Sus scrofa: one gene and its partner. The protein of the gene in region 2 purifies or fractionates together with the protein of the main gene of each other region. This does not show direct contact. Links are inferred from orthologs where the notes say so. Each region holds a gene or a part of one and is shown on either strand. Other genes may lie near its edges.

Region 1 (10,478 bases), on a different chromosome or scaffold from region 2:
ATAGTCACTCACAATTTTAAAGGTTATACTCCATTTATAGTTATTAAAACTTTGCCTATATTCCCTAAATTGTACAATAGTTCCTTATAGCTTGTTTTATACATAACAATTTGTATCTCTTAATCCTCTACTCCTATATTGTCCCTCATGCTACCCTCTCTCCACTGGTAATCACTAGTTTGTTCTCTGTATCTGTGAGTCTGCTTCTTTTTTAAAAAAGCTTTTTTTTTTTTTGGCCATGCCCACAGCATGTGAAAGTTCCTGGCCCAGGGATCAAACCCAAGCCACCACAGTGACAACGCTGGATCCTTAACCCACTGTACCACAAGAGAACTCCCAGCCTGTTTCTTTTTTGTTATATTCACTAGTTTATTTTTTAGATTCCACATATAAGTGATATCACACAGTATTTGTTCTCTCTGACTTATTTCACCTAGCATAACACCCTCCATATTCATCCATCTTATTGCAAATGTTAAGATTTCATTCATTTATGGCTGAGTAGTATTCCACTGTGTGTATGTGTGTGTATACATTCACACACACCACATCTTCTTTATCTGTTCATCTGCAGAGGGACATTTAGATTGCTTCCATATCTTAGCATTGTAATTAATGCTGCTATGAACAACTGGCACATATATATTTTCAAATTAAAGTTTTTGTTTTCTTCAGATATATACTCAGAAGTAGAATTGCTGGATCATAAGATAGTTCCATTTTTAGTCTCCTGAGGAAGCTCCATACTGTTTATCCATAATAGCTGCATCTATTTGCATTCCCACTAACAGTGTACTAGGGCTCCCTTTCTCCACATCCTTGCCAACATTGCTATTTGTGTTCTTTTTGATGACAGCCATTCTGACAGGTGTGAGGTGATATCTTACTGTGGGTTTTGATTTGCATTTCCCTGATGATTAGCATATTTTCATATAAGCCTATTGGCCACCTGCATTTCCTCTTTGGAAAATATCTATTTAGGTCTTCTGCCCATTTTTTAATTAGGGTATTTGTTTTTTGCTGTTGTTGAGTTGTATGAACTGTTTTTATATATTGGATATTAACCCTTTATTGGTTATATCATTTCCAAATGTTTTCTCCCACTACAACCATGAGCATCCTCATGGTTCTAGTCGGATTCGTTAACCACTGCGCCACGATGGAATCTATTTTGAGTTAGGTCCCAGGTAGAAAAGGAAACTCAGAGATTAATATGGAGGTTATAATCTAGTAAAAAAAAGAGAACTGTTCACAGCTAACTTTAATGTGAGGCAGTATGGTAGGTCCTGCCCTGCCCGACTCAGTTGCTCTGGTCTTCATACTACATGATTAATAGTCTATAGATTATTCACTATCACTGAGTTGCATGTGACATTTAAACTAAATCATCAGTTGGCAATGTAGCAAAACGGCACTATGAGAAATTGTACTTGAGACATAAATGTTAAATACAAATAATATGGCCAGCTAAAAGCAGTTCTTACAACTATGAAATAATTACGCTGTAATTTTGACATTAAGCAGTGGAATATAAAAGCTTTAGTAATCCCCCAACTCAGATTCCCCACAATCTGGCAGGATCTTACTCCAAACAAGCAGAATATCATTCCCACAATCTGAGAGGGTTTCCAATGAAGAAACTGGGAAGACTTGAAAAGCTGTACTATTTATCCTCCAAACTAATGCCCTCTGATATCCCTTACGGAAAATCAAATTTTTTTTAGCCATGCCTGTGGCATGCAGAGGTTCCCAGGCCACGGACCAAACCTGCACCACAGTGCTAACAATGACAGATCCTTAACCACTAGACCTCTGGGGAACTCCTGAACATCTATCTTTTGAGATTATCCCAATAAAATAAAATTGTTTAAGATTTGCACATCAAAGAGCTGCTTCTCACCAAGACTCAAACTCTGCCAAAATAATTCAGGCAGAACAAAACAGCACCAAAGGAAGATACAAGCAAAGTTCAATAGGAGCTCAGAAAGTAGCTCTATAAGATGAAGCCTACGAGAATGCACAGAGTTTTAATAGGCTGAGGAAGAGCCTAAGAGAATGACCAAGGGCCAGGGATGAAGAGGATGAGGGAACTAGGAATACAATTTGAGTGTTGAATGTGGTAGGAGGAAAGTCTAGTTCTATAACAGCTAGTACCTCACAGACAAAAATGAATCAAAAAAGCCTTGGGTGATCTTTTGCTGCTGTTGTTTTTAATGGCCTCACCTGTGGCACTTGGAAGTTCCTGGGCAGGGACTGAATGTGAGCCACGGCTGTGACCTACACTGCAGCTGCATCAGTGCCAGATCCTTTAAGCCACTACATTGGGCCGGGGATCGAATCCGCACCTCTGCAGTGACCTGAGCCACTGCAAATCAGATTCTTAATCATCTGTGCCATGGCAGGAACCCCCAAAAAAGCCTTGGTTTAGTGATTCTTCAAATTAGGTACTTCCCTGCATATGGACAGTTACCTGTAGCAGCTCTTTAGCTGAACCTCTCTTCTCCACATCCATCTCAAGACAGCGGTTCAAAAAGTCTCGGAAGATAGCTGACAGCTTCTCTGGGTTCTGAAGCTCTGGGGTCCCATTGGTGGCAATGAGGTACAAGGCCTGGTAATGTAAATAGAGAAATGCTTTAGGCTCCAACTGGGTCTCTCGGTCCTCAGACAGGCCCTCTAGAAATATGGTCAGTTGCTTTCTGCCTCCTGAACACAAAGAGGCAGCTCTGGTATATTGATACGGAGAGAATATACCTAAGGGTCACACTTAATATTTAAAGGCCATGTGACCATGTGCAAGCCAGTGAACTCCCAACTTCCTTATCTGTAAAACAGGGACAATAATGGTGCCTATTTCCTATGTCTGTAAAATAAAACAAAACAGTACACTGAAAGCATTTTGCAAGCTTACGAAATGTGTTACAGACCCAAGGGTTTATTATTATTCCTGATTATAGATCTAAATGGTTTATTATTATTATTTATTCAACCTGATGAGTTAAACATCTGCACATTTGCCAAAGGAAATTATTCCTGGTGCCTTTGCCACAGGCATCTAAAAACGGATCTCTTCCAGCAGGAAAGGAATATTTAAAGAAAGTATTCTGTAAAGGAGCAACCTGTTTCACTGTGCCACCTTGGTCCCCTCACATAAAGCATCTCCTGGGAAAGGTAAAAACTTACCCGTACTAAACCTTTTCAAGCACTTAGCACTTTCATTCATAAAGTGTTGACACAACTACTTACTATCTAATTTAATGACCACAATAACTCTGGGTAGTAAGCAGGGCAAGAATTATCATCCCCATTTCACGGATAAGGCCAGGAACATAAACAGATATGCCTGGGATCATGCTGTTTGTACAAGCTCTTGTTCTCTGACTTTAATCCCAGTCTTATTTGCATCACACTGTACTGATCATCATTTTCAAGGCCACTCTGAGGTGAAGGAAGATGAGTGGTATGTGGATTCATAGGGCAAAACTGGGAGCCAAGGGCAGAAACTACAGAAGGTAGTTTCAGTTTGATACATTAAGCACATTCCAATAATCAGGGCTATCCTAGAGGTATCCAGCTAAGATTAGATGACTGCCGTCAGCAACAATGCACAGGGTATTCCTGCATTAAATAGGAGGTTGGAATAAATAACAAAATAAAAGCAATCAGAATAACTCTCATATTTGCCCATGATCAAAATCATCAACCTACATACAGGTGTATTCACATACTGCTTTCCCTCTCCTATTACAACGAAAAATTGTCCATATTCTAATCTAATGCTCTTTGCTTCAGTGCTTGATCCAACCCCTCTTATCTACTTAGCAGCATCATCCCTACAGAGTCGCTTCTCTCTTGTACATGACCATTTTCCTCCTCTCCACTAGATCACTCCCATCAGCACAAAAGCATGACATAGTAACATCTTCAAAAAAACCCACAATAACCCTCCCCTGATGCCACTTCAAAATACTGCTCCATTTCTGTTACCTTAAGAGCAAAACTTAAAAAATAAAAATAAAACCAACTGTTTATACATGCCACCTCAACCTCTTCCACTCTGATGGATTTATTCTAATTAGGCTTTCATTTCCATCACTCCAATGAAACTGATTCTCAAGGTCATCGATAACTTTCACACTGGCAAATCTAATGACCATTTCCTAGTGTTAATGCAACCTGTCCGTCACATCTGACACAGTGATCCATCCTCCTTCTCAAAACACCTTCTCCTCCTAAGAGGCCTCCAGGACACTTCTCTCAGTTCTCCTTCTACCAGAAAGGCCACTCATCAGTCTACTCTGCTAGTTCCTCCAGCCTGTAAGCAGGAGAGTATCCCAGGTCTCAGGACTCACACCTCACTCCTGAGGTGAGGGATCTCATTATCACCTAGCTCTGATTTTTAAATAAACCAACCATATAATACCTAGTAATACATTTATATTTATGGTCCTGACCTCTACCCCTTGAATTCTGAACTCTTATGCCCAATTCTAATCAGAATCTCCACGTTGATATCTAATAAACATTTCAAATTAACACAGTCAGAACCAACTCTTATTATCCACTTTACCTGTTCTTCATACTTCTCAGGAAATGGCAAGTGAATTCTCTGCAATGAAGGCCCCAAATCTCATATTTATTTTTGATTCCTCTTTCCCTGATATCCCCTTCAGCTTGTCAGCTATACATTCAAGATATTTTCTGAGTCCAACTACTCTTCCTTCTAGTCTTGACAATGTAGTTTCAACCATCACTCTCGTGTGAACAATTACAACAGTCTCACAGTCTATTTTCAAAAAAGCACCCAAATGATTCATTTACAACATTAGTCAGATTATATTATTCCTGAGCTCAAAATCCTCCAATGGCTTCCAATCTCTCACAGAATAAAAACCAAGTTCCCACAATGGCCACAAGGTCTTAGGAGATCTGACCTTGGCTACTCTGCTCACTCACCACAAGGAGACTGGTCTCCTTGATTTTCCTCAGGCTACATCAAGCATGTTCTCAAAATTAGTTCTTTGTATACCTGATACTTGGAAAACCCTTGTGTTAGATTAACCTCATGGCTCACTTCTTTATTTTCTTCAGGTTTCTGTGCAAATAACTTACAAGAGAGGACTTCATTCTCTGCCCAGAATAAAACAGCACACTTCTCCCTCTTTCCCCCTTTACTCTCTTAAGCCCCTTTCCCTGCCTTTTTTCCATAGCACTTATCTTCTGTTACTAGAGACTAATTTGTTTTATTATCATTAGAACAGTTTCTTGCACATTATAGGAACTCAAATAATCACTGAAAATGAATGAATGACTACTAATAAATGTTCTCTTTAGGCATTTATACTTTAAGTTCAACAGCACCTAGTTTTATCCAAAAATAGAAAGCCAAAAGCCCAAACATCTTGATATGGAACTAGTAACACTTACTCTCAGAGGGTTTTCATTGAGGTATGGGGGTTCCCCTTCAATCATTTCAATGGCCATGATGCCCAGGGACCAAATGTCAACCTTGGGTCCATAGGCCTTCCGAGTTACAACCTCTGGTGCCATCCAATATGGGGTTCCCACCATGGTGCTCCGTTTGCTCTGCTCTGGGGTGATCTGGGCACAGAATCCAAAATCAGCTAGAAAAGGAAAAGAAACGACAGAAAGAATTTATATGTGGAGTATTCCTTCTGTATGTATTGACTATGTGCCTACCCCTAGGTGTCAGGCTCTGCCTGGGTCCTAGCCACTGCATCCCTTGTCTTTCCAAACCTGGAGTCACGAAACTGCCACCTCCATGTCCAGCCCCTAGCCTGTCTTCTGTTCACCTTTCAAGGAGAAACATAACAAACATCGTCTCTGGCCTCCCACCCCTCCTCAAACTGGAAGGACTAGGTATTAAAAGTCAAGCTGCCCATTCTGACCTTGACTACTTGCCCAAACCCTGCTTTCTTCTTTCTTTTTTTGGATGGCTTTTTAAAAAATTTTTATTTTCTATTAAAATATAGCTGATTTATGTTATGTTAGTTTCAGGTACACAGCAAAGTGAGTCAGCTATACATACATCCATTCTTTTTCAGATTCTTTTCCCATATATGTTATTACAGAGTATTGAGTAGAATTCTCTGTGCTATACAGTAGGTCCTTGTTTATTACTATTTTATATAAAGTAGTGTGTATGTGTTAATCCCAAACTCCTAATTTATCCCTCCCCCCTCTGTTTTCTTCTTGAAAACCACTCTCATGCCCTAGGATCTGGTAACCAGGTTGCTTTATTTCCTGGGCATAAGTCCCAGACTTAAATCCAATTTACCTGCGCCCAGGCACGGCCCTGCTTTTATCAGTTCCTCACCCTGTGCCCTATGACAGAGGCTGCTAACCGTCTTCCCATCTACTGCGACACAACCTGTTTGTCTGCACCACAGCCCTTACACTTTTGAACAAAATGTTCGTCCTGCAGTTCATTCACAGTATATTGCAGTTATGTTTATTTAATTATGAGGCCTTCAATAGGAAGGACTGTCTTCTTACTCATTTTTTCTCCATTCACAATAGGCCCAGTATGTGATACACATTTAACAAAAGCTTGCTGAATGAACGACTGAATGAAAGAAATTACACAAATTTTTTTTTAATTATGTATTTTGTCTACACTGCACATGCACAGCCATACTAGGCTGAGAACTCCTTGAGTACAGGCCAAATATCCTTGGTATCCATCACAGGACCTAGCATGTATAAATTTTTTGGCTGAATGCATAAATGAGTGAGAAAAAAAATGACATTCCATATAGTGCTGAGTAATATGAAGTACCTGCATACTAGAGGAAATAAAGATTCTATGGTGAACCTTGTAGCTACTCTCACATGGTTACCATCCCAGAAGAGACAGGGTCCCACAGCGAAGAGAGGTGTTACCACTCCTACTCACTTAGCTTGACAGAGCCATCCATTCCCAACAGGATGTTGTCACTCTTGATGTCTCTATGAATAACTTGATTTGAATGCAGAAATTCCAAAGCCTGCAGGCACTATTGAAGCAATGTGGGCAGAGGGAGAAAAAAAGGACATATAATATGAAAGCTTACAAAAAAATCACTATTCCAACCTTCTCATTTTATAACAAAAGTGAGGTCTCAGTGTGTAAAAGACTTGCTCCAGTGTGTAAATCAGTGGAAGAGGCAGGTCTAGAACCTAGTCTCTTGTCTCCTAAGCATTCTTTTAACACTCCATGCTACCTTATACCTTTCTTTTTACAGACCTGATTATATATCACAATCTTATTATAGTTAAACCTTATTTGATATCATCTCATATTATATCTCATTATAGTTTGAAGTAAAACACTCCCTCCAAAGTATTTTAGAGTTCTTTACAGAACATCAGATCCCTGACAAAGGACGTGAGGCAAACAAACAAACAAAAAAAAAAAGAAAAAAAAAAAGAAGAAAGAAAGAAAAAGAAAAAGGACTGAGGAAAAACAGAAAGAATTTTATAATGAAAAAACTAGAGGAAAGCCACAAATAAGAGTCACATTTCCAGAGATTTCTCATCGCTCAGCAGGTTAAGGATCTGGCATTGTCACAGCTGTGCCTCTGATTACAGCTGTGGCCTGGGTTTGACCTCTGGCCCAAGAACTTTCGCAAAAAAGTCACATTTGGGAAACTAGAAAAATGGAAGCAGAGAACTTAGAATGGTAATCTTATTTTGGTGAGGAGATAAATTTGTACTGTTTTGGATATGCTGAACTTTATATTCCTATAAATATCTGCAGACAAACGTCCAGGAGGCAAATGAAGATGTGAGTCTTGAGTTCTGTACAGAGGTCTGGACAAACGTTTATAATCATTTGTGAAGAGGTAATTTTTTTTTAAAGTTATAGTAACGGTTAGAACTGGAAAATGTTATAGATGATAAGAAGAGAAAGAAAAGAACCTTGGAAAACACCCAGGCTTAGCAGGCAGAATGAGTAATGCAGAGACTGAATGGAACAATGAAAATGCCTGGTACTGACCAATAATATTATTCTAGAGAAATCTCTCACTCTCTCTGGGCTACTGTTTTCCCATCTGTAAAACGTGGGGGATCAGAAAGGATACTCTCAGGGTTACTATTAAATCAACTAGTTTTAAGTTCATACCCCAAGGCTAAAATTTTAGAGGCTTCTACCAATTAAAAAATACTAATGATGCAAACTAATCAGAAAATACTATTTAAATGTCCTCAATATTTCACTTTCTTTTTAAAATTAAAAAAAAAATTTTTCTTTTTAAGGTAGCACCTGCAGCATATAGAAGTTCCTGGGCTAGGTGTCGAATCAGAGTTGCAGCTGCAGCCTACACCACAGTCACAGCAACACCAGATCCAAGCCACATCTGTGACCTATGCTCAGCTTGCAGCAACACTGGATCCTTAATCCAGGGATCGGACCCACATCCTCAAGGACACCATGTCCTTGAGTCACAACGGGAACTCCCAATACTTCATTTTCTAAGAACAAAGTAATGGTTAAATTAAAAACAAACAATAGCCAGAGTGGTTTTTCTTCCTGGAAAAGTAAAGAGTTGCTTTCCTAAGAAGCAAGAGACGCTGGCCTTTGGACATCAAAAATTATGATAAAAAAGGATGATTTCAAGAAATTGGATCCTTCATACACCGTTGGTGGGAATATAAAACAGTACAACCACTTTGGAAAACTGGCTGATCAGGAAAATGTTAAACATGAAGTTGCTCTACAACGAGAAGTTCCACTCCTACGCAAATATCCAAGAAAAATGGAAACAGACATCCAACCAACAACTTGTACACAAATGTTCACAGCATTGTACATAATAGCCAAAAAGTGGAAACGACGCAAATATCCATCAGTTGATGGACAGATTAAAAAAAGGAATCTTATTTGCTAATAAAAGGATGAAACTTCAAAACATTATTGTAAGCAAAAGAAGCCAGTCAGGAGCATTCACTGTGTGATTTCACTTATATGAAATGCCTGGCACAAGTAAATGTATAGATAGAGAAAACAGATTAGTGGTTGCATTGGTGGGAGGGCTGAGAAACGGGTAGGTGGGGAGTGACTTCTGAATATGGAGTCTCTTTTTAGGATGATGAAAATGTTCTAAAATTGATTATGGTAATGGCTATAACTCAATATACTAAAATCCATTAAATTATACACTTTAAATCGGTGAATAATATAGTATGTAAATTATATCTCAATAAAGGTATTCTCAAAAAGGGGAATTATCTCTCCTAGAACTTAAAAATAACGGTAATGCCACTTATTTAGGTAACATTTCAATGTCTTTCTAAATGCCTTTTAATCCATGTGGTACTCCTAAGGTATATACAGTGTGAATGTCGCAGTTCCTATTTTAAAGATAAATCACCCGAGTTCTCTGGTGGCTCGGAATGTTAAGGATCTAGTTTTGCCACTGTAGTGGCTCAGGATGCTGCTATGGTGTAGGTTTGATCCCTGGCCCAGGAACTTCTGCATGCTACAGGTGCAGCCCAAATCAGTCAGTCATCACTTGAGGCATATTGGTTTCCCAAAGCACACATATATATTCTCAACCAGCATAGCTCAGCATTCCTGGGGTGAAGAAAAACATCTTAGATATTACAGTAACTGCGGCTTTCCAAAGATCCACAGTATATATGTATAAACTAACATACAGTATACTGATAGTATTAAATGTCATGGGGAAAATGTGAGTCTGAAAAAATGCCTTAAAAGGCTCCTGGTGAGGGAGGGAAGGTAATGAAACAGAAGTTGAGAAACACTGCTCTAGTGGTACAGCAAAGTACCTAAGACTCCTAGGCTTGTGTTAATTCCACTATGTGTGTGGGTGTGTGGGGGGTGTTCTAGATCCCAGCATTTTTAATGCAAAGGTGATCATATTTTCTAGGACAGTGTATTTCACATGACTTTATTTTCCCTAATATTAATATTTATAAAACTACATAACTTCATCTGTATGTCTCCGAATCTTGTATCACCAAACCCTAAGCAGACTCACCCCATAAAACTCTGAGCCTAATCTTCTATTCTTCCCCTAATTCCCAAACTTTTCTATTATTAAGCTGTCAGAAAGTTACAGGCTCTTTCCAGCAAAGCACCCAATATGCTCAACTTCTCCGGATACTCCCTTCATCTTCTTGCTCTAATGAAGATGTGGCTTTCTCCTGAGAACACTACTTTTTATGGAGGCCTTGTGGGGGGTTTTATTTTTCCTTCTTATGCCAGCATTTTAAAGACTTCAGACATTTAATATCAATGAGGAGAAAAAGAATACCTATTTAAGCTTTTTTTCTATTTCTTTTGCCTGGAAATATTTTACCCTAGATTTCTACATGGCTTGCTTTTCATATTCAGATCTTTACTCAAATCTGTGGCAAAACCTTTCCTGACTACTCTGTCTGAAATAGACTCCTCTGTACCTTCTTACTCTGCTGTATTTCCTTCACAGCACATGAATAAGCAGAAAAGCAGAATA
Region 2 (10,956 bases):
CGGCAGAGAAAGCGGGCCTCCTGCTACAGCATTTCCTTCTCAAAGCCACACTTGGGCAGATTGGTATGGCATCTGGGTGTGCGCCCCTTCTTCATTCAAAGTGCTACTCTCCACTGCAAACCCAGAAATGGATTTTGACCATGATTTGAATGTGTGAGAATTCCTTTCTCTTCCCCGTTGTAGAATTATGGGCTTTTCCTTGCCCTCGACTGGGAAGATCTCAAAAAGGGAGGTAGTTGCAGTTTCTGGAAGGAAGGCAGGAAGACAATTCTATCATTTCACAGCTGCCGGCCAAGGTGATTACAGTCGTTGGGAAATGATTCCATGGTGAGGTCTTATCTTTAGGGTGGCTTAAAAATTAGAGGAGGTCAAGGTTTTGCAATAGCTAAGAGGGTTTCTAAAGAGTTCTTATCCTCTGTGGGGATTTGGGCAGCTGGAAAATGTTTGGCCTGGGGCGTTTCTGTGATGTATGTTTGGGGAGGGAAGTCGGAAGCGTATCAGTTGCTGCAAAGGTCTGGGAAGGAGGCTCTTTTATCTCAAGGGTCAGAACAGCTGGGAGGGCAGGTTGGCTGCTGCAGCAGAGTTGAGGGAATGAAATGGGGGCGTTTCTCCTCCTGGGGGATGGGCACCAGCTGGGAAGACCCAGAGCAGGGGTTTAAGGAGGAAAATTACAAAGGCTGAGAGCAGAAAGGGGCCTGCAGTATAGCTTGGCCTGCCTTGCATGCATCTGTTTTCAGCCTTCGCAGTGTTTCCAGGCTTTCTGCTCCAGTGAGCTTCCACTGCAAATTTACCTGCCATCCTCCCAATGGCCCTCCCTGGGGCTTTCATCTTTCTCCAGGAACTTATGTCTATAATTTGCCTCTTTTGTGATAATCCTCCAGGACCACTTCAATTTGTTGAACATATTAAAGCACATATAATAACACTTGCAGAAGACGATACCTTTATTAAAAATAAATATTACAGATGTAAAAAATGCACAACAGCAATTAATGATATGTGCTCCTGGGAAAGTTTTGTATAAATAGGATTTATGGTGTGATTTACTGATTTCTCCTACATTTAGGAGGACCTCCTGCAGCCCCTGCCTCGGTCAGCACTGAGATGTGGCCATAAACGGGAAAAAAAATGGGCCAAAAAGAGTGGAAGGGGCAATATTGGACATAAGAGGGCCAGATAAAAAGGGAGCAAAGCAAAGTTTGGGTTTCCAGGACACAAAAACCACTATATGGTCAGAGGTAGGAGTAGCCCCACATTTGGTTGGGCCTGAAGCTTATCAAATTTCTGGGCCTTCCTTAAGAGAAATGATAAAAATTTAAGAACAGAAAATTAAGTACAAAAAATTTTAACTTCAATGAGAAATGCATCAAAATTAGTTATAAAATTTAAGGAGTTCCCATTGTGGCACATGGGAAACGAACCTGACTAGTAACTATGAGGTTTCGGGTTTGATCCCTGGCCTTGCTCAGTGGGTTAAGGATCCGGTGTTGCCATGAGCTGTGGTGTAGGTCACAGATGTGGCTCGGATCCTGCATTGCTGTGACCATGGGGTAGGCTAGCGGCTATAGCTCTGATTCAACCCCTAGCCTGGGAACCTCCATGTGCCATGGGTGCAGCCTAAAAAGGAAAAAAAAAAAATTAAAAGGCTGACAAACACCATAAATTTCAAATACATCCACTAGAAGACACTTCAATGAACTCCCTGACATACTGTGATAACGCTATTTTTTCCTACATTTTTGTGGCTGCACTCCTCATCCTAACTTTATTAGGTATAGTTGACAAAGAAAATTGTACATATTTAAGGTGTACAACTTGATGATTTGGTATATGTATACATTGTGAAATATTCACGTGTGTGTGTGTGTGTGTGTGTGTGTGTGTGTGTGGAGAACATTGAGGATGTCCACTTAGAGATGCAAGTGTACAGGACAGTATTGTTAACTCTAGTCACACTGTGTGCAGTAGAGCTCCAGAATGTATTTATCCTGCATAACTGAAGCTGTATATCCCTTGAAGGGCACCTCCCCACATGTGCTGGGGTGCATGCCCTTTGACCTCTTTTTCAATGTTGTGGTTTTGCATTATGTTTTCCAGAGAGGAATGGAAGTGGACTTCACAGGCAGGTTTGTATCTTCACAAACACAGGACTTTGCATCAATTCTTTCGTGTGTGTGTGTGTGTGTGTGTGTGTGTGTGTTTCTAGGGCCGTACCCACAACATATGGAATTTCCCAGGCTAGAGGTGGAATCAGAGCTGCAGCTGCTGGCCTACACCACAGCCACAGCAATGCAGGATCCAAGCCGCATCTGTGACTCACACCACAGCTCATGGAAATGCTGGATCCTTAACCCACTGAGCAAGGCCAGGGATTGAATCCTCAACCTCGTGTATACTAGTTGAGTTCATTACTGCTGAGCCATGACAGGAAATCCCCACATCAATTCTATTTCCTGTGATTTCCTTCAAAAATGTATGGTGCATCTATAATTTTATATGCTGCATTTAGAGTGTATTCCTGAGTGGAGGGAGCTTCCATTTTGACCAGGTATAGAGAGAGACAAGCCCCCTCCAACAATACTGTGTGTTTTATAATGGAAAGAATTGCCACAAACACAAACTAGCTTCTGGCTTCAAGAAGCTACATCTCCAACTGTTATTGCTTTGCCACTGGACCCTCCCAATGCTGGGGAAAATGGGAAAGTCCGCTTAGATGCCAGCAGGACCCCACAGAACAGGTGTGTTACTTGCAGCCATTCCTTCACCTGGGAAATAAGGTAACTAACACGAGAATGTGTTAGAATACCACATAGGTATCAGCCATCAAGGTCAGAGTTAGGCAGAGGCAGATGAGGCCAGGGTACTCAAAGCAAGTGCCTTAGGGTCAGGCAAGCGTGAAGTTGGCCCCTTCAACTTTGCTCCCTTGGCCCCTCACCGTAGTCCTGGCTCTGCATCCATTAAACCTAAACAAATTGTCTCCCCAACTTCACTTTCCTTGACTTGATCCTCAGAATGTCCACTGCCACTCAATATGAGAAGTTAGAGCTGAAAGAGACAATGGGCTTAACCAGTGGTGGTTAAAATATGACTTTGCAGGGAGTTTCCATTGTGGTACAGCAGAAACAAATCCGACTAGTATCCACAAGGATGTGGGTTCGATCCCTGGCCTCGCTCAGTGGGTCAGGTATCTGGCGTTGCTGGGAGCTGTGGTGTAGGTCGCAGCTCAGATCCCACATCGCTGTGGCTGTGGCTGTAGCAGAGGCTGCAGCTATAGCTCCAATTTGACCCCTAGCCTGGGAATCTTAAAAAAAGAAAAAGAAAAAAAAAGTGACTTTGCAAAATTTACAGACGTATAATGGGTGTGTTCACACTGTTAGGGCCCCCAAGGCCCTGGAGACGTTCTGTGCAAATGGAAGCCTGGATTCAAGCGTGTAGCATCTTGATAGACTCACCTCTGCATTCCACCTACCGCCAAACTTTCAAGTCTGAGTTTATCACTCTGGCTTATTTTAGCTTCCTGGAGCTAGACCCTGAATCCTGACACCACCACTTCCTCGTTTGTAGACCTTGGGCATTTTATTTGATATCTCTGTGCCTCGGATTTTCTTATCCTCTACCCTTAAAATGGCTATCAGTAATGATAAAATGAAAGGAATTAATTCATGCAGAATGCTTACCAGTGTCTGGCATATAAAAAAGGCTCAATGTTTATTAGCTATTGTAATTTTTATTATTGGTTTCGCTATTCATGTTAAAAGTACGTGCCTCTTCTCACACCCCACTGTCAACCCGACGGAGCCTTTGCGGCCCGACTAGGCCCAGAAAGGCTGCCCTGTCTTTCCCCACAGACTGCTGCCTAAATGTAGGAGGAAGCCAGAGAACAAGTCAGAGAAAAATGAAAATTTCCCCCAGGTAATATTAATGTCACCAAATTATACTGAAGCAAATGAAGGAACTGGGGCTCTAAAGAAATCTCTTGGTTCATGGCGTGCCAAAGAGCAGGTCCAACAAGCATTAACAATGGACTTGGCCTTCTTTTGCTCCCAGATGATATAAGAATAGATATAAGAATACATTAGACGAAGAAAAATCACACGCTGGGCTGCAGCGAGACCTTACGATAAGAGTTGCCTGTTAGCCTCGTTCAGACGATACGTCCCCAAGACCCTCACAGCTAGCTTGGAGGCCCGGACTGGGCGGGGAGGAGGGGGCAAGGGCCACGGGGCCAGGAGGAGCTCGGGTCGCCAGCCGCGTGGCCGAAGGAAGCGGCAACGAGCGGGCCGCTCCGCGGTGGCGTCAGTTCCGTGCGTCTGGAGAAGCAGCTCTCGGCCGGTACTCCCGTCCGCGCCGCCCCCAGCGGGTGTCCGGGTCCTCACCGCGGGTGCCACGGGCCCTCGGCCTGAGGCTGCAGCCCCGCCCCCGCACGCTCGGCTCCCGCACGGGTGCAGGGGCCGGGCGCGCAGGCTGGGGGCGCTGTGGGCCCGGCGCGGGGACCGAGTGGCCGGCGGCCCCGCCTCCTCCCTTGGCGCCCGCCCCCGCGCGCAGTGTCGCCAGGCAGCCGGGAGGAGACATCGCGCCCGGGCTCCGCGCCGCTCGGCCCGCAGTCCTCGGCCGCGGAGCGGAGCCGGCGCCGCCCGAGTCCCAGCCCCGCAGCGACCCGCCCGGCCGCCTTTGTCTGGAGCCGCGCGGCCCGGAGCTGCGGCTCTCGCTCCAGTCGGTGACAGCTCCTCCGGCGGCGGGAGCGGGCCGATGCCCCCGCAGCAGGGGGACCCAGCGTTCCCGGGCCGCTGCGAAGCGCCGCCCGTGCCGCCCCGCCGGGAGCGCGGGGGGCGCGGGGCGCGCGGGCCCGGGGTGCCGGGGGGCCGAGGGCGCCCGGGCGGCAGCGAGGGGCGCGGCGTCAAGTGCGTGCTGGTCGGCGACGGCGCGGTGGGCAAGACGAGTCTGGTGGTGAGCTACACCACCAACGGCTACCCCACCGAGTACATCCCTACCGCCTTTGACAACTTCTCGGGTGAGCGGGGCGGGGGGGCATGGGCGGCGCGGGGCCGGCCCAGAGAGGAAGCGGACGATTCCCGAGCTTCGGTGCCGGGACCGCGCGGGGCAAACGGCGGGACCGCGGGGAAGCCGGAACCCGAACCCGGAGCCCGAACCCGGGCACGAGGACTGGAGGGCGCCTCGCCATTTAGGAGCAGAAGGCGGGACCTCACAGGTCGCGCCCAGGTGGCCTGGTCAGTTTCCTGCGGCTAGAAGTTGCGTCAGGTCGATGTTGCTGGCGCTGCTGCAGTTTCGATCAGAAGGTGACGCGCAGGTGCCATTACCTGTGGCCCTGAGGGTCCATCCTTTTCTGTCAGTGGCTCCCTTACCAGGCAGCGTCGTCACTTTAAAGAGCAGCGGAGACGAAGGAAGAGAATGGATTTGGTGGAAATGGCACTAGGGGTCCTGGAAAGGCTGAGGTTTGGATTAAAGCTGGAGAGTAAACATTTCTCTCCTCAGAACCTCACCCCCACTTCCCTCGCTTCCACCTCCCCGCTTGACTGTGTTTCTGACTATTGGTATCTTTTCGCTATCTAATTAGGCTGCTCGCTTCTCTGTACAGGATGCTATGATACTTGGTTTGGTATCTACGAAGATAAAGGAATCCTTAACACTGGTTTTTCAAGTCTTTATGAAATTTAAGAAAAAGTTAAAATCTACAGACACCAGTCTGAAACACTTTCTCTTGCTCTTAAAAGTTTCCTGATGTTTTAGAAAGTCACAGTGGCAAGGTCTTGCTTTCATCCACCTGGAAGTTCCCCTAAGTAAAAACAGTGCTGTGCTGGTGGGTTTCCCACCTAAATGATATTGTGCTTTTTTTTTTTTTTCTTTCTTTTTTCCCTCCCAACTGACTGGTATAAACATTTATATAAACAATTTAGAAAGTTGCATTGAAAGGAAGCTGAGTGCTTCACTCACATAAAGACCTCAGAGCAGTATCCTGATGCAGGCCCCTCCCCAGTCACCTCTTCCCAGTGGAAAGGTGGCCATGGCTTTCTTTCCTTTTCTCTCTTAATCCTCTCTTTGAGCTGACATGAAGAGATAAGCAGAGGCCTCTTATAAACAGGACAACACTGGCAGCCTGTGTTTGCACATGTTCTCAAAAAAGCTACACTTTTATGATAAACCCCAAAGATGCCCAGCGTTTCCCAAGGGAAAACAGAAGTATTCGTGAGGTTTTCCACTGACTTAGAACTGCAAGTTCCCAATTACCCCCAGTGTTGTTTTTAAGTTCTTTTAAACAAGTGCAACAAGAAAATACGTCTTCTAGGTCTGGGAGGAAAGCGCAGGCCCTTCTGGGATGTTGTTAAAGGCTCTGAGCTTTGCTGCCTCCTCTGTGACAATGGAGATTTGTACAGAGAAGTGCCTCCATGGGGTCTCCTTGTTTTAGGTAAGCCTTGAGCTGGCTAAGGGATCCAGAGTAGGAGCTGAAGGTTTAGAGTAAGAATGGTCATGCAAGCTAAAACTATTTTTCTTCTGAAGAGAGTTAAAAGACACCCCCTGATAGTCATTTTGTTCTTATTTTTAAGCTGTGGTGTCTGTGGATGGGCGGCCTGTGAGACTCCAGCTCTGTGACACCGCAGGACAGGTCAGTATCACATCACTGCTCAGTGCTGGACAAGGAAATGGCCTTTGAAAGACCTTCAAGTAACAGCCCCATAACTGGGCCGTTCTAAAGCCCCACCCCTTTCTTTGGCCCCTCTCAGAGGGTGGGGTGGGGGGAGATGGCGCTGCACTAATAAAAGAGGGTTTGGCCCAACTTTGTGTGGGCAGGACAGGGGAAAATGGGGTCAAGAGCAGTTCTTATCTTAGGGGAGTTTCTGATCTTATTTACTTTCTGGTTTTTATTAAAAATGATCAATGATGCTTTGTAATCATTTCTCCAAGTAAGTTGGTGATATAATTATTAAAGGCCAAACAAGCCAAATACTTAAGAAACGTACTCAAGAAAAGGATGGAGCTTATGTCAGTAGCTGTTACTATTTCCCCTCCCAGGTGTGGTTGGACTCACTAGGGCACCCCCAGCCATTGAAGCAGAGGTGCAGTGGTCCAGGATGACCTAAGCTAGAGGGATGAATGAGCTGGAACTTGGTCTTTCTGAATTTATTCTGGTCTTGAGGGCCAGCCACTTGGAGGAGACAGCCGGGGGATGATGGGGAGAACCCATGTGAAGTCCCCTTTGGAGTGTCCCCAGAGAGCTCCAGGGGCCCTAGTCCCCTGCACAGTGCCCACGTTACGGAGTTCTCACTGTGCTCTGTGAGAACCCTGGGTGCTATCTCTTGAGTTTGCCAAAGTGACAGTTAATAAGCATGTAGTCCCTCCAATGCTTGCTGGAATTCATGAAAGTGTGGGGGTACTTCCTTGGCAGGTAAGAGTGCCCATTTCACTTGAGGTATCACATGACCACGTGCATTTAAGAAGCAGCTGGCTTTCTAGAATGAGTCCCCAAGTGCCTCATTCAAATCAGGGCTTCCAGGTCACTTACCTGCTCCAGGACCGCAAATTCAGGGCTTTATTTCTCAAACCTCGAGGTACACGACTGGGTGACCCAGTCCCCAGCTGAATGTCAGTGTGGTGATGGTCACAATGGCTTGTCATAGCCCCACCTCTTCTGTTCTGTCTTTGCCCTTCTACTGGGGCTCCTTAGCCCTCACTTTTACCAGGATCAGAAACAACCCACCAGTCTGTGAAAAAGAAAAATCAAAGAACACAGGGTCTTCTAATACTTAATCTTTCAGGGTGCCCTGCTGCTATTTATAATTAAAGCTTAATTGTTTTGTATAAAGTGAGAATGTTTTTCCTACTTAGGGTCAGATTTTCTGATCTTGAAAATGAGGGTTGGGTAGCACCTCAATAAACAGAGGGCTCCCCCCTGGAGCAAGAAGTGGCAGCTAAACAGCCTAAGAATAAGACAGAAGGCAGGAAAACATAAGGCACCAAACTGCACGCTTCTCTGAGACCCTTTAGAGAGAGCACGTGGCCATGCCCTCCCCAAAGGGTTGCCTGTCAGGCCTTGGTTTTCCTGGCAGACACAGCTTTCAGGGCTGGGGTTCTCTGCCTAGTGCCCCCTCAGTGCCTGCACATCCTGGGGTTTAATCATGGTTTGTAGAATGGATCAGTAAATGGATGGAGTGTTAGGTCCTGAGGAATGCAAACTTCAGTCATGGGTCTGTCCATCAGCAGATTTACAGTCTGTAGGGAAGACGAACCAGTTAGTAGAACTTGAGAAAGAAGTTACAGAAAGAATAAGGCAGCTTCAGCTGGAGGGGCAGGATGGATAGACCTGGGGGGAAATCTCTGAGCAGTTTTGAAAGAGGAATGGGATTTTTACCAGAAGAACTTTGTAGGAATGATCCTGAATTATCAGAGTTTGATTTTTCTCAAGTATGATCTGTTTCAAAGTCAAAGAATCAAAAGAATCATTTTATAAATATTTTCATGAAAAAAGTTTATCATTAGGGAAATAAAATGATTCTGGTGCAAGTTGATAAGCTTTGGTTTATTTGGAAATTATTCTTCTAGTCTCCCAGCAGTGTTTTCATTGAGATTCACTGTATTTCTTGATGGATGTTCTGGTTAGTAAAGTATGCTTTATTGTGTAGCCGCCTTCTATAGATTTGTAGAAAATCAAATTCAGAAATTAGTTATAAAAAATACACAGCTGGTAAGATAAAAGTAGCTTGTCCTCTGCTTCTAAAGTATCAATTAGTATTTGTTTTGACCATCAGCAAAGCTGGTCAAGATGGCATCCTTTTCTGCCCTCCTTACTCCAGATCTGATCAACTACTTTTTAAGGGACTTGGGTTAGCATATTTCCTTGGCATCGTCCCAGCCAGTGGCAACCCCCCCTCCAGGCAGTCCTCATGGTGGCCTCGTGGATAAACTGACTCGAGCCACCTCCATTCTAAACTCCCGGGAATGTGAACACAGGTAGCGTAGCCTGGGGACCAGACTCACGTTTCACATAGCCCCTGAGAGCAAGCATAGCGCTCTGCTGGCTGGATGAGTAGCTAGAAATTGCTTCTTGTGCCTTGGGGTTTCCTGTTGGGGTCTCAGTGAGTATATGAGATGTGAGGAGGAGTTTTTAACGCTAGACTTACCATCTTACTCAAGTGAAATTCCATCACATGGAGGCCTTGAAGAAACCTACCTTTGCTGTAGAGAAAGCACCCTCCCTGAAACAGGAGCAGTGCACTGTAGCCTTGCCAATAGCAGCTGAAAACTCTTCAGCCTTTTGACTCAGGAAGCACTTGGGAAAATCTTTGCTCTTAAAAAAAAAGAAAAGAAAAAGTCTGATTGAAGCTTGACCAACACTGCTCTCCAGCCAGCCTGGCCCTGAATCTCTGCACCATCTCAGAGTCGCATGCAAATCTCTGGGCCTCAGAACATGTTTCCTGGAGGGTACATTCCAGTTGGCCTCATCACATGTATGTGTGTTGCACTTGTTTCAGCAAATATCTAAGGTTTCTGGTCAGGCAGTGAGCAGAGGGGTTTAATGTCTGCCCTGTTTCCCGAGTCCCTAAGCCAGAACCTCGAGAGGTCTGTGGACTCCTGTCACGGGGCCCAGCCCTGTGCTTGCCTTTCTTTTTATTGGTAATGCAACCCCAGATTCCAGGGCACAGCCAAGTGTGATGCCTTCCAGCATTGAGGGGCAGTGAGGGGGGGGGGCGGGGGGGTGCTGACTTTACACTGTTTTGTGCTTCTTCCTTTCAGGCCTCTGAGAACAGAGGGAGCGTTTCATTAAAAGATCTTTGGGGCTGGGCCACCTGGTTAGGATTCTGTGTTTATTCTTTCAGCACAAAGTTGGCAGTAAGAAACCCAAGACTTTTTTTTTTTCTTTTTAACTTTTCTGTATAGAAGACAGAGAAGTGAAGTGGTACTCACCTTGTGAGATGCCATATTCCTTCTTAAGTATTTAGTTGGTCGACTTCAACATTGTTACTTTGTTGTTGTCCCACAAGCTGAAATGTGGAGCCTCAGATGAAGAAAGTGCACTCAGATAAAAAGACCGGATGTAGAATAATGCATATATAAATAGGAGTTTGTAAATAATCTGAGTATGCCAACTGAGCAACAAAAACCTGGTGACATTTACGTTTTTCTTGCCGCTGGGAAATTATGTCATGTTACAGCTGAGGGTGGTTGAAATTTAAAAGAGGAATGAGGAGTTCCCAGTGTGGTACAGGGGGTTAAAGAGCTGGCATTGTCTCTGTGGCAGCTCAGGTTGCTGCGGAGGCAAGGGCTCAACCCCTGGCCTGGCATAATGGTTAAAGGATCCAGTGTTACAGTTGCAGTGTAGGTACAGCTGTGGCTCAGATTTGATACCTGGCCCTGGAACTTACATATGGGTGCAGCCAAAAAAAGTTAAAAAAAAAAAAAAAAAAGGAGTGACAGATTTCTGTCATGGCTCAGCGGAAACAAATCTGACTAGTATTCATGAGGACACAGGTTCAATCCCTGGCCTTGCTCGGTGGGTTAAAGATCCAGTGTTGCCACGAGCTGTGGTGTAGGTCACAAACTCATCTCAGATCCAGCATTGCTGTGGCTGTGGTGCAGTCAGGTGGCTACAGCTCCAATTCAGCCCACAGCCTGGGAACCTCCATATGCCATGGGTGCAGCTCTAAAAAGACCAAAAAAAAAAAAAAAAAAAAAAAAAAAAAAAGGAATGAGATAATTTAAATATTTTCCTAGGAGAAAGTTGAGTAAAAGCTTTCAGTCAGCTAAGTATGGTACTGCAGGGAACTCTAGGGTGTTTGATAAAATGAAACACAGACTTGGGGACATGTCTGTCTTCCTGGCCACATCCCCTGGGCTGGACAGTGCCTGGTGTCCCACATGCATCTCTGTTAAGTGAGTGAGCTCAGCCAGCACTGAGAGGCTTGGTGGTTGGTTTATATAATCAACTCCATCTCATTCTATCCA

The links. Proteins that work in one complex are often made in the same cells at the same time.
Region 1: the proteins of RHOU (region 2) and PAK1 purify together in Homo sapiens (co-immunoprecipitation; 5 studies listed by BioGRID and IntAct, with this or other methods). This does not show direct contact. The link is inferred for Sus scrofa from reciprocal best matches to the Homo sapiens genes RHOU and PAK1.

The regions. Positions count from the first base shown.
Region 1 is NC_010451.4:11,834,288-11,844,765, forward strand, and holds part of PAK1 (serine/threonine-protein kinase PAK 1), read right to left. Parts: intron 7,014-10,478; coding exon 6,914-7,013; intron 5,622-6,913; coding exon 5,425-5,621; intron 2,609-5,424; coding exon 2,471-2,608; intron 1-2,470. UniProt on the Homo sapiens protein: Protein kinase involved in intracellular signaling pathways downstream of integrins and receptor-type kinases that plays an important role in cytoskeleton dynamics, in cell adhesion, migration, proliferation, apoptosis, mitosis, and in vesicle-mediated transport processes.
Region 2 is NC_010456.5:60,671,376-60,682,331, reverse strand, and holds the start of RHOU (rho-related GTP-binding protein RhoU), read left to right. Parts: upstream 1-4,749; coding exon 4,750-5,011; intron 5,012-6,563; coding exon 6,564-6,622; intron 6,623-10,956. UniProt on the Homo sapiens protein: Binds to and activates protein kinase PAK1. Plays a role in the regulation of cell morphology, cytoskeletal organization and focal adhesion assembly during cell migration. Also stimulates quiescent cells to reenter the cell cycle.